Linked DNA regions of Tribolium castaneum. The protein of the gene in region 1 purifies or fractionates together with the protein of each later gene. This does not show direct contact. Links are inferred from orthologs where the notes say so. Each region holds a gene or a part of one and is shown on either strand. Other genes may lie near its edges. The genes, in order: proton-coupled zinc antiporter SLC30A2 and protein-L-histidine N-pros-methyltransferase.

Region 1 (9,419 bases):
GTTTAATTTAGCGTTTTTATAAATTCATATGACATGACGTAGCGTAATTTTAGCTCAAAGATCAACTAAAATATGCAACGTTTTTTTGAAAATTGGCATCGAGGTTTTTCAAGTTACAAAATGATTCGTAATTACTGGATTATGTAATCCCCAAATGTTTTGCATAAAATATTTTGCTGAAAGTGTGTAGTAATTGGTTTTAGCGATGTGATGGGTGTGAGTTGATGACGTCATGCAAATATCAAAGATTTTTTACTTTGATTATTGGAAAATTTATCATTCGTATTTTGCGATTTCTTTATTGCATCATCAAAACGGATGCGATTCCGTTGATTAAAAACAATAGCATATTTCAAACAAGGATTTACAAAAATGTCAAGTGTGCTATTGATAACAATGATAAATGTTTCGAGTTGAATGAGTTTTTTTCAAAATAGGCGGACACAAAACTCCCCCGTTCTACTGTTCTCACAGTAGAACTTGTGTAATTGTTTTTGTGATTACATTCTCATTTTATTATTTACATTTTATAGTTTTGGTGCAAAAATGCACTCAATAAATTAAGGTCGTTAAACTCCAATTGGTTAATAATAATGATCATTGCAAAATATGTACCTATAATGTGCTAAAAATAAAACGCTGAAGTTGCAGTTTATTAATTAACGTTAAAGTAGGTCCACAAAAATATGTTATAAATAAAATACCTACAAATATTACAATTTCAAAATCATAATTTTGTCAAACGCTTTGCTTATTATTAATATTAATATACGAGGTGATCTGTTATTTTGCTCCATAATAATATACGTGATTTTTCAGAAATTTTTTACCATTCTTTTTGATTAAAAATTAAACATTTCCGCGTAAATAATAACAATTAATTAACCAATATTTATTTTTGCATCGTGGGAGTACGGCCCATTTACGTTTAATTTGGTGAATGTGAAAGTGGCTAATACCTAACCGTTAACAAATTAACAAAGCGGTACAAAGTTGCAGTTTACCAAAATATCTGATTGCAATTTGTGTTATACAATGAATTTATCTTTTTCTTTCGCACTTTGCACTTGTTGCACGTTCTCTGTTCCAATAACCTTCCATTGGAAAAATACTCATTGAAATGTTTTTATTTGTTATTATGATTTTTAAAGCAATGTAGTCAGGTACACAATTATTTTGCTCATACCATGATTGTAAGTTATAACGTAATCAGAAAATCGGCGAGTTTTTAATAAAATTGCACGTAACCAATTTCGTGCAAATACGGACGTAAAAAAATTGAATAAACGTCTTATTAATTAATGCTCTTGATTTTTAGGAACAAAGTGCGTAACAATTACGTCGAAAGCATGACGACGTTTTGTTTGCTTTGCTGATAAACTGATGCTATTTTGATAAGTTTACCAAGTATTACTATAATCCATTAGTGTCATAGAAGGGCAAAACCGTTTCATTATTTTTTAATAAAACCTATTTTGGCTGTTCTTTCAGAGTAAAACAGACAGTATTATAGGAGAATAAAATAAGAGTTTATTTATAATTATGGCTAGTAAATTATTTTAATTCTCAAGTACATCTTAAAACACGTTACTGTTATTATTGGTTTTGCAAAAATTAAATTGGCGAGACATTCGCTTGAGTCAGAAATCTTGACATTGTCTGTATCTTAATTATATAAATTAAAGTATATCGTTGACCCTACCCTGAAACTAGTCTTTTACGATGTATATTAAGCAGTTCAATGAATTAATAATCTATTTTGTACATCACATGACACGTGACACTGAATTTTATGGCCACTTTCTAGTTTATCGTATTTTAAAATAAACGCCCTCATTTCAAATTATCAGTGCGAAATTTTAATATAAACACATTAAAAATGTGTCTAACAGTAACAATAACGCTGTGTTTGTTATTACTTGCACACATTCGACTCTAACTTTAGTGCATACTTGTATATCCATCGCCCAAAAAAATTATCTTTTAACATTACCACTGGTCACCCATATTTATGTAATAGTTAGAATAACCTATTTAAATATTTACTGCACGCGTGTTTGTACATTCATCGCTGGTTCGTTTTTAATGTAATAAACAATTATTTCAGGATAATAGAAAAGCGAAATTTCAAAAATAACCCATATCGCAAGTAAATTATCAGAAAAAATAATTGCATATAAATGAGTTTCCTTGAAATAGTTTTTGTTGCAATAAATAGCAAATTTTTTAATCAACGGTTGCTGGACAATTTAATCAGTGTTATTAATTTGGTTTTTGTGTACACTTATAAAATTAAAATATGTAGTTTAGAGTCCCAAGAAGAATCTGGGCAAATTATTATTTTGTATAACCTAATGAGAGCCTTGACTATGTTACCAATTTCTCGTAATTCAATGTCATTATGAAGCAGATTTCCTGATCATAAATATATTTTTAATTTGCTGTTTCCTTAATTCCTATTTCCTCTGGGTTAGTGGTTACCCCAATAATTAACATTGATCGGATTTCGATGATAACCGGTGATTTCTTTAAATCTCTTTTCTTAGAACTCTGCAGACAGAGGACACTAAATGTACCTATCCTATAAAACAACCTTGGCCAAGGTGAATATTATACAAATTTTTGCAGACCAAACGCGTGTAAAACACTTACCTTCTTTTACATAAAAATGTGTTTCCATGCAATTTTACTTTATCTTACGTAAGATTTACAGAAAGGTACGCAAAATTCCACACACTAAAAACCTACCTTTTTACTTTTTAATACTGAAAATTAAAAAAGTGCACGTTTTCGTCCCAATTTATACCCTTGAAAATTAAAAGCGTCAGGTCCAAATAAACATTTTAATTCGCACGGAACATACAACTATACAAGTGACCTTTTGCGTTGAATATTTTATACGTAAAGTACGTATAAATGTAAAATGTTGCTCTGATTTATTGCACTTGTTACAACCAAAAACAAATTTATTACCAAACAACAAAAAATAAAAAAGGATTTTATTAGACGTTATACTTTTTCAAATGTTGAGTTGTTTTCACAAGCTATAAAAAAGACATTTTTATATATAGTAACACTATCGATAATGCTGTTTAAATTTAAAGCTTTACAAAGTTTAAGAGCAACTCGTTACAATTATAAATAATTCAACATCTTTATTTACACAAGCCAAAAGAATGTCATATTACATTTTTATATCATATCAATTCATCTGGTTTTATTTTTTATTGCAAATAATTAAATTGGAACAAAATGTCATCAGAAAGAATTAGAAACTAATCGCTTATGAATTTTTTATCTAAGGATTAAGTACGTGGAGGAATGAAAGGATACATGCGATAATAAAACACGTCAGTAGGATGTGTAAATTCGTTTAGGTTTTTGTAATAGAATAAGTATAATGACTGTTAATAAATATTTAGTGAAGGATGATGTTTATACCGGATTTCGGCACATTTTACAGTCTTCCATGGCCTCTTGGAACTCCTCGATCTGCAGTGTCATCTCAAAGAAGTTGTATTTATCATGAATATTTTTAGTAGCGACCATTAAAACATTTTGTGGATTCACATCAGGACCTGGAGCGTTAATTTTAATAGTGAAATTCAATTTGCGGTAAAATATTACTAATAGCAACATGAGCAGACATTGCAATTTTATCCAAACTTAGGCCCCATATTCTCAAGTTATGAACTCTTTTAACTCCTTCTATATTTAGAAGCGTTTTCATGACTTGATTGAAATCAATTCCTTTGGGAGCTCCTTCCATCAGCACTGTTAACGTATCTTTGATAATATTGAACGTGGTAAACATCACTAATACTGAAAAAATGAAGGTACAGATGGGGTCAATTATGACCCATTGTTCCTGAAATTACAATTTCGTAAAAATAATTTAGCGTTTTTTCCCAATTACGTTGAAATAAATCACAGCAGCGGCCACGAAAACACCAAAACTTTGCAAAAAGTCGCCGATAACGTGAATAAAAGCCGCTCTGACGTTGATGTTATCGTGGGAATGTGTGCTACCACCTCCATGGGAATGCCCATGTTGGTGGAGTGTTAAACCCATTCTGAAAATTACCATGGAGCTTAGCTAGTTAGAGCAATTTACTCACATTAAGTTCACAATAACGCCGATACCGGAGGTGATTAGCATTACTTTACTATCGATATCAAAGGACTTATGGATGACTCTTTGTACGGCAATGTAGACCAGTATTCCAGTAACTACCCAAATTAGTAGGACGGAAGTCAGAGCACCTATCACTTCAGCGCGGTACCACCCAAAGTGCATTGTCTTGGTGGAGGGCCTAGTTGCCATCCATAAGGCAAACAGAGATATCATAAAACTCGCAAAGTCGGTAAGAAGGTGAGCGGCATCAGAGGCTATTGCCAAGCTATTTGACAGGTAGCCACCTAAACTCGGAAAATTAAAGCCAAAATAACAATGAATAATTTACCCACCTATAACTTCTCCGATCATGAAAAGTACACATAATACACTAGCTACAATTAATTTTCGCCTAGCTTTGCGATCAATTTCCGGAGATTTCCCTCGATGGCAATGTTTATTAACTGAAAAAAGACGGCAAATACAGTATTTTTTAATTAATTGGGAAAATAATTTTTGAAGAACGTAGGCTAGTCTGCTACTTTTTGTTCAGCCTGTTTGCTGTGAAATCATTTGGTGCTTATCGTGTGATAAGCGGCCGACAACTTACTCATTTCGGTGGCATCCTGATTTTCTTTGGTCGGTGTATCAACCGAATCTCCCTCTTTGATGTCGATGACTTCACTTTGTAAAACTTTGCAGCAACCAGCACTTGGTTTTCCATGAACACAAAATATCACTTTTTTAGGAGTGCCGCTACTGTCACTGTGCATTGCTCCGTATTTGTTACTATTATTTAAACTAGAAATAAATACTATCGCGAGATACCAGAGTTTTGAGATACTTACAATAGAAGAGACTTATTTTCGTTTTCATCCTGCATTTTTATGGCTATTCAACCACTTGCCAGTTTGTTTTTCATTTACGTGGGCACGGATTAATCTCAGAATGTCAGAATATGTTCATGTTCAGTTTCTGGGCAATAAGTTATTGTTATCTTTGTGAACTAAGGAGTGTTTGTGCACCCGGCCCGACAGTTTCTTATCTATTTCAAGTAGGTACCTAGTTGAATAAATACAAACAAGACGTTGATTTCTAAAGAGTGTTTCTAATCTGCGCTTATCAGATTCAATCACTCGACTAATTTTTAATAAATCACCTATAAAATATACCCATTAATCCACCTAGACAGTGATTTCTAATTGGTAATCGTTGTTGCATTAACTGTTTTTTTTCTCCAGAAACCAGAAATAATTATATATGATATAAATCAAGAGACGGATTGAAAATCATTTAGATATATCTATTTCCAATCACTATCAAACTGAGAATTATTAATTACTAGATATTAAGGGTCTTACGACCCTTAAATGAATATTTGAAAATTACATATAGTAGTATAAATTTAGTGACATCTCTTAGAAGCATCTAAGACTAAAATAACTTATATTATAAAGAAAACTGTAATGCTATACGTAGAGGCGGGAATTCATCTTTTTTCAACTCAAGTTTTACTTTCGCTTTGTACATATTTATGGTATGACATTTTTATATGAGTGGACGTGTTTTGTCAATAAATTAGTAAACCAAAAAAACAAGTGATTCAAGTTTCTGATATACTGGGGCATTTTGTCGTGAAAGAATAAACTCTGCACGTTTACAAAACAAAAAACCCGTTTTTTTCTATAAAAATTTGACCAGATAAAGTCTTTTTTTTAATAATAATAATAAAATACCAAAAATAATCACTGAAAAAGTCCAAGTTATCCAACTTATTGAAAATAAAGAATTCAATGTTTTTCTTAATTATGGCAAAATTATTGGACAAAGTGGAACTATTTTAGCCTAAACCTATGTAAAATGACCCGGGGAATCGATTGGCATTAAAAAGATCGCCAAATTTTGAATAGTTTTTTAGTTATGAAGCTTTTTTTTAAACTATGAACTGCAGAATAAAGATAGATAAACTTATAGGGTTTTCTCTAACAGTTCCGGAGTTATTTCAACCTAAATGTTCCGAGTACCAAAAATCAACAAAAATCTCGACGAAAATTAGAAAAATCACCGTTTATAATATTGTAAAAAACTAGTATAATTACGTAAAAGGAACGGTAGAGGAACACAATTAAAAAAAAAACAGTCGTGATTATTTCTTGTGTTTATTGCATATCTTTGTTTAAATAAATTACTTCAACAGTACGTTTCAATAATTCAAGTGAGAAATGTTCAATAATTGATTAAATAATTTGTTGTTTCCATGACGATGAGGTAAACAAACCTTCACATCCAGTCTACAGGTGATTGTGTCAAAAATGCGAGCTATGCATGAAGCAAAGCTTCATGGTGCTTTCTGTACTAAATTATGTGGCAATTTTTTCTTTTCTCTTGTTTTTGGCTCTGACGGCCTACGTTTTGGTGAAATATTTAAAGCTTCGCGCCGGTTCTTTGAACCGTCACCGTCTTTACATCAATACACCAGTGGTCTTCACGAGTAGCACGGGAGTATACTTGAGGAAAGTGAAATTCCGGCAAAACACTCGAACTAATGTTATTAAATTACGCCAAAAGAACTTAAAAAACGCTGCGGAGATTTACAGTATGAGTGTCTGTGACGTCCCGCTTCAAACTTACAACATTTTTTGAATATTTGGGGATATTTCTCTCTCACGGGCAGCCGTTTTAGTGACTTGAGTGAAATGTCAAATAAAAGTGTAAAGTAGTGTAGCTTAGACTCAAGTTTTTTCTGTTGTGTGTAATTGTTTACGAATTTTTTTATTTAAATAATGATGATGGTTAAGTGGGTGGTTTTTGCGTTGTCTAGGCTGTTGTAAAAAGGTTTAACGAAAGATCAACCAGGAAAAGGCTAAATGTCATGGGATTTTGCTCAAGAAGATACTTTTTTTTATCAGTTTGTCTCTTACAAATGGTAAGGCTCGTTTCATTGTTCTTTTGATATTGTAATTGGCAAACTTCCATTTAGTTATCAGTTATCGAGAGGCAGGTGTTTGATTTTCTGGGATTTTTGTGGATACCAATTCTTGTGAACTTCTTTGAAATTATTTTCATAATACTGGGATTTTTTGGTGCATATCAATATCGGCCTAAATATATCATATCGGTGAGTATTTGCTGGTTTTCCTTCAACAATTGTACGACTTTGTTTATTTTAGTACATTTTGTGGCACCTTTTCTGGTTGGGTTGGAACGTTTTCATCATTTGTTTATATTTAGATGTAGCCAACTTGGACCATAAGGTATAACAGTCATGCGCCATAACTTTAAAAAATGACTGCAGGAAAGTTAAACAATCACGATTTTTTATTTGCAAAATTTTGGTCAGATTGTGTAATTACATTTTTCGTAATCTAAAATATTTAATAGTGCTTTTAGTCTATAGTCTCTGTTGTAAGAAGTGTTCATTTTCTTTTTACTTTTGTTTCATATTTTCGAGCCAAATTTCCCGTTGTTCGAATGAATTGAAATTTTGCATACTTACGTAATCTAGGTGACAATGCAATTTTATGTAGTTACTTACTCCCTAAAGAGAATAAGTAAAAACTTAAAAGCAAAAAAATAAAAAAATATATAAAATGTTTTTTAACTTTTATTAAAAAAATGCAAAAACGAGTTCTGTTTAAATCCTAATATCTTTGGCAGCAATAAATAAGGAGTGAGGCCTTAAACAGGGTTCACTTTTTTCTAGCCACCCGATACAGTTTTCTAATTTTGTAGACTAATAAAGTGCTCAAATTGGACCCAAAGAGTGAGAGCTGGTGGAGTAACGAGGGACCAGGATGTAAGCGCATTTTGAGTGAATCCTATCAGACTGCTAGTGAGAATTGTCTTGTAAATTACGTACACGTTGAAATATTCCAGGCAGGGTTACAATGTGTGGCTTCTGTATGTTTGTTCTTTACTGTTTGTTACAAACACTGATCTATTGTATTTTTCAGTTAATCGGAATTGTGATTGGAATTTGTTTAAGTCGCATATTTTTAGAGGAAGATGATACTTGTAAGTTGCCCTTGTGCGTGTATTATTTGTAGATTGTAGGTATTTTACTAACTCACATTGTGTATAATAAAGCTTCACTTTTAATTGGCTGGTTATGTCATTATAATCAGCCAATAATTTTATGATTAATCTGCTTGCAGTTGATTTCATTGGTGGATTTGATCCTCAAACTGTGTGGTAAGTGGTAAATGGGATGCAATGGTAAACTCTTCTTAGTGTTTTGTAATTTAAATTATTCTTTCCTGTAGTGTAGTAGTTGCTATTTGATACTCTATTTTCAGTTAATTATGAAGATGGTAAAGGTCCTGAATATTTTTCTTTACATCCGATGTACGTGAGCACCAGTGATGGCCTTAATCAGCATTTTTCCAAACCTAACACTAAATTAAATGTAAAGTCGAACGCTTCTGTTTCACAGACTTGCCCGCAGTGCCGTAAGCATGCGGGCAAAAACAAAAATCCTTTACGTGCTGACACTATAAGATACATACAACGCAGTACTTCCTTTAACGCCTTAAATGCACCAAAACGCAAACGCTCACCTAGGCCCAAGTCAATCGCCGCCAGACCTTATTTCGATTCAGATCTCAACTTTTAAGACTTTGCATTTAATAACAACCCAGCAAACACAACTGCTATTGATTTTCTGGAAGAGCACAATTTATTTTTACATAAGATGGTAGCGTTGTCTCTGCTGGAACGTTTTGTTTCTAGTCATTATTGTTTTTGTTTTGTTTAAATGGTAATAACTGGCGTTAATATATTTGGATTGGATTATGACTAACGAAAAGTTGGCATTAACATGACTGTTTAGCTTGTGGTAGCTAGTGCATGTTTGTTGATTAACAAATAAATTATAATTTTTGTTTTGACGTTGAATTGTATTATTGTGCCTCGGCATTTCTCGAAACTAAGAATCGGCTTTTTTGGCAGCATCACGTAAATCGTCACGAAAAAACACAAAACGAATGTCTCTCTACTCAATCGAATTTAGCTCTCAGCTGGAGAACCGTCATGACAGTGATAACGAGTTCGATAACGAGCATTTGCCGCAACCAGTTTCCCCAAAGCCGATGACACCTCGAAGAGTAAAGCGCCGTAGTGTCATGACAAGGGGTTCCTCCGGCAGACACAGCACCATCAGCAGCAGTAGCAGAAGACATTCGACCGCACGCTCGTCCACAAGAAGCTCCCGTAGGATGACGCAAAACCCAGTTACGCGTTTGTTGGAGCAGCAGCAAAAAACGCATGCTTACGATAGCCCAGCTAGTCCCTCTCCCCCCATTGATTC
Region 2 (10,007 bases), on another chromosome or scaffold:
ATTACCAGCATTTTCACTCTTTTATAAACCACCAAAGTGCTGTTTTCCGAAATCAAAAACCCGAGGGAATGAAACCTCATTTTCTTATTTTTAGCAAGAAATGAGAACGAAATTCGGAATGACAAATTGATATTACTTGAAAAAAATAGCAAAGCGATTTAATAACAAAGAGTTTTTCGATGTGGGGTACTGGGGAAAATAGTTGCAGTGGAATAAGAGGAATATTTTTTCTTTTGGTTCTTTTGCAGAATCGTAATGCCAGAATGGATTTTAGTTCTCGCCCTTATTATAAATAACTTATCTGAATAAAGAATGCACGTTTGGAACACGTTTTGGTACTCGCATCTCGTCTCGTATATTCGATTCTTGCAAGGGGTCCGAGTATTTTACTTCGGTCGCAATCAAAATGTGATCGAGCGCGCCGCGAGGTATTCCGAAATACATAAATTCCCATATATTGTGAGAGAGAAGCAACCCCCTCAGTTCCACCCTTAAGTAAAAATATATGTATCGAGTATTGGAATCGAATCCCGTGCCTGACACTCTGATACATTTTAAATTCACATTCGTAAGTACGGAAAATAAGTCTGATAGCGCGTCGGGAGAGAACGCCAGGGCCTTTGTTTCCGTTATTAAGCCCAGCCATTTTTCCATTTCCCGTCTTTTCTTCTCTTGCGTTTTGTTGTTGTATTTCATACGAATCCGCCTTGATTAGTTTCGCCTCCCGGCCTCTTTTCCGCCTCCTTGAATCATGCCTCGACGAAATTTATTCCAATACTTGTTGTTTACAAGACATTAGCCATATCGACTCTCTCTTATACAATCAAAGGAGAACAAACTGCATTCGACAACAACTACAATTAATCTAGAGAGAATTTTCAGACTCGAGAAACGACCATCATTCGTCTGCCAGACCAAAACTAAGCTCATTCCGGATTTTGCAATACATAGTTAAATGTGTGCACGTTTTGTCGTGTCAGCTCGCAATTCACGCATCATCGTGAATGTTTAATACAAGTCGCTCGGTGTTTTTCTCCAAAACCCTTATGTGAACGTGGCACATGCAAGGAGAAACTGGCGAGTGTGTGTGTCTCCCGGAGCCGTCCTCCTCCCTTTCCGGTCCCCGGATGCAAACGAGCTCCGAGATAGAGGCAAGAGACACCGGAGATCGAACGGTGATCGACTCGATGCACCTTCAGGATGCAGATTTGTGACGTTTAACGCGGTATAAACGACACTGGCTGTCTCACAGTCTCGTTTCGCATCCGTTTCAGCTTCAGATTTTCATCATCTAATATTCAGTCGAGTTTTATGTGGAAAAATGACGACCGAATTAAAAGGTGTGTGAGAAGAATGTCGAACCATTCAGAAAGTTAATTTATCCGTCTAGCGAGTTAATGAGATCCCGTAATTTTGGCTGTCGTAGTTAGTAAATAAAATAATTAGCGCCGGTCCGGCCCTGGATTATTTATAAAGTCGGGTGTTAACAGAAGAGACGGCGGGCACCTCCCATTCGTACCCTTTGAAATATGATTTTAATTAAGTTCTCATTATTTATGTTGATGAGGAGGCGAAGATAAGTGCAATGTTAATAACAATCATAACTCCGAACGGTAGCAAATAGTGGATGGAACGGGCCGGAATGCCATCGAGGCGGACCTGATAATTAAAACGGTCGGAATCCGGTCGGATTGTCGGGATCTGATATAGACCGTGTTTACATACCTGCCGACCGGCGATTTATTCATTTAATATTTAAATGGGATTACTACCGAAGGGAATTGGCGACCAGGTAGCCCACTATCGATGCTAATTCTCTCCGACAACTTGTTGGCTTGTTGGACACGAGCCGGCCCTGTTCTCGACGCGTTTACATTCTTCACGCACGCTTCACGACGGAAATATCAGGCAGGGACTTACCGAATTTTCGGCACGAAGAAAAAAACAGAAAATCGATTTAAAAACTATATTTTCTTCCTTCCTTCCACCCCACAAATGACAACTTCGTCTTTTAGACATGGAAAATGGAAATTTAACAATGAAACGTTATTAAGTACAAGTTGATGTGGACTCTTTTTATTTAACTTTTAACCTCTTCATTTTTCAAAGTCCAAGAAGTTACTACTTTTTTGTTTCCAAAAGGTTACAAATAAAGTGAAAAAAAGTTAAATATTTTTGTCTGATTACTTAATATGTAATTGCGAAAGGTTACTATCCAACACCAAAATGTCCCTTTGGACGAAAAAGTTTTTTGCGAAATTGAAGTTTTAAAAATGTTTTTCCTTAAAAGTCTGAGTATTTTTAAAAGAAGCTTGTCTCTTTTGTCGTTTGATGTACTGAGTTCAAATTTGAATCCCGCTGACGATCTTACTTTTTACTTTTTCAAGTAAATTTTGTGTGTGATGACGCGTGTGGTACAAGATACTTACATTTAATTTTTGGAATCTCCAATGACAATATACATATCTCCCGATTTGTCATAATAATAAAAACAACACACGCATATTATTATGACAAATCGGCAAAAAATTCAGAGAATCACATATTTTGTTTCAATGTTATAAGCTAGGAAAGCTTAGATACCGTACAAATTTTAAGTACATTTCTGACAAATCTTCAAATATTGATGATCGATGATAACATTTTGAAGAATTTTTTTTAAGAAATATTTAATAAACAAATCAGATAATATGCTACTAACTCTTTAATAAACTAATTTTATTGTTTCTCTTAAGAGGACACCTCCATTAACCAGACAAAAACGTGTCACAGTGGGTGTCCGTTTATTGGAGACTTCACTGTATTCAACTATCGCAAATCTCATAAATGTTTAAAATCTTCACATTCCAACTTAAATTTGATCACCTAATAATACTTGAAAATTGAAATTACATAGCATAATCAATAAATTTTCGGCCTTCAGATATCAAACGTGATTTTCCTAAATGTATCCAAACAAAAGGGTTTACTTACCCATTTCGTTTAAAGAAAGGAAAAATTGAAAATTTATTGAATAGTGTTTTATGTAATGGCCAGTAGATTTTTCATTTTTCGATTTTTTTCATTTTTGCATGCTCTCGTCACTATTAATTTATTCAAGCGTGCATCTCTCGGTCATTGTGAAATTCGGGTAGTAAGCGCGCGTGACAATTATGCGTTTTTTTGGAGGGAAGTTTGTCAAGGGACGTAGTTTACGAGCGGTCCCTAAGGTATGCTAACCTCCGGTTACGTACCTTCCCTTTTAGCTAGGCACTCAACGTGGCTCCCAGTCATAGTTCTATGCATCGCACGCCGCCACGCACCACTTCAACATATCGTTCGTCCTGATAATGTATTCGTATCGGGAAAAAGCTTCGCTACCGACCAGGAAAACGCATACGTTTCGTAATTTACACTTTGACGACGACGTTTCCGTCGAAGCAAAAGAAGGACTTTTGATGCCTGCGTGATGTATTCATGACGGGGGTTAACAAGAGTTTGTGTTCCCCAAATCTGACGCTACGATGAATATTTCAAGTTATTGCAGACGTTCGAAGAGGATACGAAGGGATTAAGGTGACGCTTTGTTTCTGCGAAAAGGGCGGCGGAGCAAAAATCGATGCTCAAAAAATAAAAGAATAAAAGATGAGATTTACACAATGCAAAATATCTAATGACAGGATACTATTGTTATTTTTATTCTGTACAAAAATTGCTTCAGCCCCAGAATAGCGTCTTGAAATTTCGAGTGATTAGTTTGTGTCAGTTGTTTCATTTTATGAAAATGTAGTTACTTGTGGCTATTTTTAAAGGATGCTGTCGTAAAGACGCTATTGTAATGGAATCAAAAAAGCAAAAATCGCTGTTAGCCGAGGCACCGCAATGGCATTGTATGCGATTTAAAATGCGGTCCCAATTAGAGCTTTTGAAGCTGTTATACATTGACGATCTTTTTGTTTTATCGCAAACATTTCGTAAACACAATCGCGATTATTCAGAGCCCGGCATATAATTGGCGTAAATAACGACCGGGCGCGCGTACGAAAAGAACCTTGAGACCCCTTTTTAAAAACTTATCCCGAAGAAGAATTGATCGCATTACAGAAAAATCTAAATCACAAATGATACAAAGGGAGTAAACTTTCTTATAAAAACTACATTCCATTGTACAAAATCCAGTTAACTCATTTCACAAGAGCGAGTCTCCTTTGCGAATTAAACATTCCGGATTGGAGCGAGCGGCAAATGTGAGATCGTGCTGATCATGGACCCGGACTGTATTCTTTTCTTTGAAGTATTTTAGGGAGCGGGCTCGGTAATGACGTTGCCGGAGTAATCCATGCATACACGGGCTCTGAAACTACCCCACACACACACATTCGGTTTCTTTTATTTTGCGAATCGCGAAAAGATTTGATGAAAATCCCCGGCTGCGAGGGGCGAGGGCCCAATCAGCGCCGAATTTAAGATCATTATCGAGCGTCGAACACCTCAAAAGGACGATTCAAACAAACGCTCGCGCCCCGAGATGGACCATTATCCGAAGGAAATCGATCGAAATGATAGCGCACAATGGAAAAATTTGCTCCCATACCCAAAAACAATTTTTAAAGGGTTTTTAAAGAAAAGACAGTATAACAAAAATGTACATTCTTTACTTTCTAATTTTTTTTTCATCAATTAGGTACTACTTTATTTCTTCTCGCATCCCTAAGCGGCTTCTTATGGATTAGTCCGTTATGACACAAATACCAAAAATAGAATTGCAAAAATTATACACCCAATAAGAAAGTGTTTTACTGATCGGTTTTATAAAAACTGCTAATTAAGTAAATTAGCTTTATTAATTAGGTACTATTATTTTTAGACCATCCGATTAAAAAAAAACAATAATTTTGTGGTTCCAAGTCAAGTTTTTATTTACAGAAAAAGGGTAATATTCAGTCGAGATATAGATTTTTTCGAGTATTGAAAAACTTCATTTTCTAGCAATTTAAATGCACAAACAGATAAATAAGACCCCACCAGATCTAAATTATGCAAAAGACAAAACGTGCGGTTTTATCGATATGAAATAACGCTCATTACAGTCACGATACTCTATTTACTCATATCCACCACGCCATCTCCGAAGAACTCCTAAAAAATTACCCACCTGGACACTCAACATGACCTTAGACTTCTCGAAAAGCATCTTCGTGAATCAAGTACCGCACAACAAACCATCATCACCTTGACTGAACAATAAATGTCTTAATCGTGGGATTCTGATAAGATAAGAAGTCATAAAACGAATTCTGGTTTGCCAAAAGCGGGCAAGTAACGAATTCCCTGTTTAGCAAATTGGTTTATTCGAAAACGTTTAATAAAAATATGCAGTTTATAAAATCCCCGATTGTGCGTCGTTGGTGTATCTGGGGAGTTTCGACGCAAAATTGAATCGGGACTCTATGCCCACGTCCTCCGAGTCGCCCCCGCCATAACCAACGTATCCATAAAATATTCACAAAGCAAATACTGATTTATTATTGAGTAATTGTTAATGATTGGTGGACGCTTTGATGACCTACACGTAAAGAAAATTGACGATAATTGGGTTTGCACAGCTACATGGATTATTTATGTAATCATTGTTCATAACGAGGGGAAAAGAAAGCAAAGAAACCGAACGAAAACGCTCGTTTTTCAATCTTGTTGAAAAAACCTAGGCAAGGGGCGATTTTCAGGCACAGCAAGCACACAATCATTAGCGTGTTTACTGACCTGGCTCTTGTCAAACTGACTCAGGAAGTGGTCCGTTTGCTGCTTCTCGTACAGAGCCCGCGCGAGGCCCCCACGAGGCTTAAAATTCAACGTGGGCCCTATGTCCTGATCGAGACAAAAATCACGATCCGGTCCTGATGAACTTTTGTAACAAACACCATCGTCCACCATCGCGGAAGAGTTGAATAAACAATGAATTTGATGACAGACAAAAGTGAGGTTATGCGGCACGAATTCACAAATTTACGCACTGAATTGTCTCAAGTAGTACAAAAATTGGTAGGTTTTGTAAAATCACAAAAAACGTATGTTAGGGTCAGGGAATTGGACACGTAGGAACGGTTTTAGAGCGTATTTGCTTTCACTTTTGACAGTTATAGAGTCATTGAGTTGGCAGCGCTGGATTTGAGATGACAAGAAACTACTAGGCGCGTAATTTGAATCAATTTTCGTGGGCTCGTTTTGATAAAAATGACTTGTCAGAATAATTAGATTAAATTCGAAAGTTGCATTGATCGTTTCGTGGAATTGTTCTTTAGAAATGAGCTGAGTAACAAGTTGTAATGAGTCTTTTGCAAGTAATTGCGTAATTGTCAAAAATATCTTCCATACATTACATTAATAACCGAGGTGAAAATCAGTTTTGAGCGAGAGCCGAGGTCCATTAACAAAAACCAGTAGCACGATGTTAATTTGAAAGAGATTTTCTTTTTTGTTCCTCGATGGACGTATTATGAAGCAGTGGCTAATGTACAGGTCTACCAGATGGAATTACAATTCACATTAATCTCAATTGTTCGGGGAGAAAATAAAGAAGACGACGTTGGTTCATTTCGGTAGCCAAACAAGAGCGACTTAAAGTTAATTAAGAATGAAATTATGACTGTATGCAGTTTGAGTGCAAAGTGTTGAAAATTGAAATTTTAATTAATCTTGGGCAAGACGAAGAGGGGCAAAAAGCTTTCATTAAGACGTGACTGGAGGAAATCGTGTCCGAGGAAAAAACCGACATTGAGTTTCGAGTAATTTAAATTTAATTATAATCCGAAATTTATACACAAACAAAAATCCAATTAAAACGGCGGAATTAAATTCGAGAAACGTTTTAACACGCGAAATCTCTAAATCGCATAAAAATTATCCGTGCGCATGATACTTTATTAGTGTCGAGACGTCGGCGAGGAAAACCGACCCAACTTACCGGACCCTTAAGGGCCGGAATTCCTTAAGGATTTTCCCGGTTTTTTAAATTGCATCGTGTAATTTCTACTCGAGTATAAATGAGGTTTTTTAATTGGAAATCCGAGCTGCGATCCGGAGGGACAAGAGGGCGTATAGTTAGCGATTTATTTTAATGAGAGTTTCGTTTCTTACGCCGAATCGCATGCCAAGTAGTCCAATAACGAAATATTATTACAATCGCTCTTTGCAGCTTTTATTGCCCTTTTTTCATTCGACGGTAATGAACGTCGTAAAATCCTATTAAAATCGTTGATGTGCCGGGGAAACTCCTTAATATAAGCCCCCACACAAATTATTTTACCTAATTCTCACGGAATCGATACGAGGTGGAGCTTTTTCGTGATCTTTTACTACATCGAAAATAAATTATTATCAAATGTTTGGATAAGCAATATTTTTATTGATGTCACAGCATTTCGTCATATCACGACCATATCAATCGAATATTGATTCCAACCCCAATCTGTCAACCTTCAACACCGCCGCCAACAACCTATGAAAACAAAAAAAAAACAGTGGACAAACGAAATCGTAATTCCCACAGCGTTTCAAAAGTAATCATAAAACCGTAGGATCCCAAAAATATTTTTATTTTTTTCGGACATTGAACTTGTCTTGTATTGAAGGCTACTTGTTACATTTGATTAAACTTAAAATACATCCTTGGGTTCCTTTTACCGTATTTTTATTGAAATAACGCAAGAACAACTTAAGATTCTAATAAAAACCTCGTTACAGCGTTCCATCAATTCATAATTCCCGTTCGTATCGAATCAAAAAAAACCTCCTCGTGTTTTTCGATTAATTACAAATTCCGTGAATATTTCCTAAATGTTCGCCACTTTCGAACAATTTTAAAAGCGACAAAAAATTGTCATTAAGCACATGAAGGTTATTAAAAGACTTTTTACAATGCACCAATTAGTCGCTGGCTACATTATTGTTCCGTGAATAATTCAAAAATGACAATTGAGTGAAATTTTTTGCGCGACACTTAATAATGGAAAAATAATAAATATTACCGTACACTTCCTCCTCATTGTAATAATTATTGTCGGAAAGAAATACGCTGCTTACGTAACCGATTTATGTACGTTGGAAATTTTGTGGTGAATTATCTGCAGGAGTTCACCCGCGGAGCTTTCTCTCATATCGAGGATTTATGCGACGAGGAGTGGAAAGGCGAACTTGAGGAGCAACGAGATTTTTTGTTTTTGTAAGACATGTGAAACAAAAAAATGCAAATAGAGCAGATCAACAATAATGACGAGAAAGTTAAAAGTGATGAAATTGGTTTAAGAATAATTAAACACTCAAAAACTTTGCATAGTTTAACAAGCTGAATGCTCTGACGCAAATTAATTTAATTCTAATCTCAAAAGTGATCGAAAAAGTGCCCCAAATCGCTTTCATATACTTATTGTAATGGTTGATGGTCAGTTAGCCACCCATTATTAAAAGATCTACTTATTATTCTTGACAGCAAGCAATGTTTCTTGCATCGTTCCGGTTCGTGAAAACAAGTAAGTCTTTATTATGTAAAATATGGAGAAAGTTCGGTGAGTTATGTTATCGGCTGCACCCTGTATATAGGAGTGCACTTAATTGTGTGAAAATCCCTGAAATTAGTCTTCAGCTTTACTAATTCAATTTCGAGTAAGTTGCGTGTTCCGATCGGATTTAATTGCTTAACGATTGCTCCGAGTGCTTTAAACTCTGTCATTATAATTAATCAAGAGAGTAAAACATAAAAAGCCGACGTTAAATGGCATTCCAGAAGTGCACTTTACGAAATTAAATTTCTGGTCTGAGGAAGGATTGCCCGTATTTATTAAAAAAGTAACAACAGGTACAATATCATAATTTAGCTGTAATTTTATAAAATTATAATACTACTTTTTGAGAATACTTTTTTATTTTTTTATACAAGGTTTGTCAGAAATACGCGTGTTAATTTTAACAGGTAACAGAGTTCAACAAATAAAAGATTTTTTCTATTTGTATTTTTTCAATAAAATTATAGTACTAAACTATCGTAAACTAAACTCTTGTTTTTTCAAAAGTGTGTTTAAAAACGTTAGGTTATATCGGTGTGCCAAAAGTCTCTGGAAATGGATATAGTGGTCTTATTGACCGCTAAAAATAAATAAGTAAAAAATAATAGAAAAATAGAAAAATAATAGAAAATAGAAAAATAATAGACCTGACCTGACCTGACCTGACCGCTAAAAATAAATAAATAAAAAATAGAAAATAATAGAAAAAAATCATTGCTCCTTATTTAAGATGCAGCAGCTCGTCAAAATTGGAATTGTAGGAAAATCAAACTTGTTAGCTTTGTTTTTAATGATTTATTTTAATGTTTACTTGACTTATTATCAATTTTTTCAAAAAGAATTAGGAAATCATTTCTTTTGGTTTTTAAAATGAGTTAAAAATACCAGTTTAAAAGTGCAGCAACATTTAGTAATGTTACCATGGTAATACTTTTGGTAAATATTTTTCTAAACATATAAAAATAGGTACACTTGTACGGCGTTGCCATTTTTTGTTTTTGATTTTAGCCAAATTAAAGGTTTTGTGATTTTTTTTATCGAAAATAGTGTTCTGTATAAGCTCTATCTAGGTGCTCTTAAGAGCCTATCCGCAACATTTAACACACCTGATACATAGAGGATAGTTATTTTTAAAAATTACTTTGAATATTTTGAAAGTGGATTAAAAAAATCACTAAATTTTATTTAGGTAATCTTGAATTACCGATTGACAAGTAAAATAAAACGTTCATATAAGTAGTTTAGTAAAATATTTCTATTAATTTTATTTGATTTGATTATTTATTTGTTTTAACAAGTTTATACGTTTTCCACAAGTCACAGTAGATAGATGATTAAATTATTAAGCTATTAAAATTAGATACATCATTTAAAGAATCCCTCCGAGCTGTACAAACAATTTGTTTTCAAAAAACCTTTTTATTTTAAGTTTTCAGTTATTTAAATATAGATATGAACGGAGAAAGT

What was found.
Region 2: the proteins of proton-coupled zinc antiporter SLC30A2 (region 1) and protein-L-histidine N-pros-methyltransferase purify together in Homo sapiens (co-immunoprecipitation; 3 studies listed by BioGRID and IntAct, with this or other methods). This does not show direct contact. The link is inferred for Tribolium castaneum from reciprocal best matches to the Homo sapiens genes SLC30A2 and METTL9.

Annotation. Positions count from the first base shown.
Region 1 is NC_087403.1:6,930,871-6,940,289, reverse strand, and holds proton-coupled zinc antiporter SLC30A2, read right to left. Parts: upstream 5,186-9,419; 5' UTR 4,998-5,185; coding exon 4,963-4,997; intron 4,916-4,962; coding exon 4,725-4,915; intron 4,579-4,724; coding exon 4,468-4,578; intron 4,420-4,467; coding exon 4,119-4,419; intron 4,074-4,118; coding exon 3,917-4,073; intron 3,869-3,916; coding exon 3,628-3,868; intron 3,579-3,627; coding exon 3,436-3,578; 3' UTR 3,356-3,435; downstream 1-3,355. Other genes in the region: NKAIN (sodium/potassium-transporting ATPase subunit beta-1-interacting protein), read left to right, coding at 6,987-7,040, 7,095-7,232, 7,285-7,368, 7,847-8,014, 8,068-8,128, 9,062-9,419.
Region 2 is NC_087394.1:24,601,061-24,611,067, reverse strand, and holds the start of protein-L-histidine N-pros-methyltransferase, read right to left. Parts: upstream 6,159-10,007; 5' UTR 5,914-6,158; coding exon 5,743-5,913; intron 5,256-5,742; exon of another isoform or gene 5,174-5,255; coding exon of another isoform or gene 5,135-5,173; intron 1-5,134. UniProt on the Homo sapiens protein: Protein-histidine N-methyltransferase that specifically catalyzes 1-methylhistidine (pros-methylhistidine) methylation of target proteins.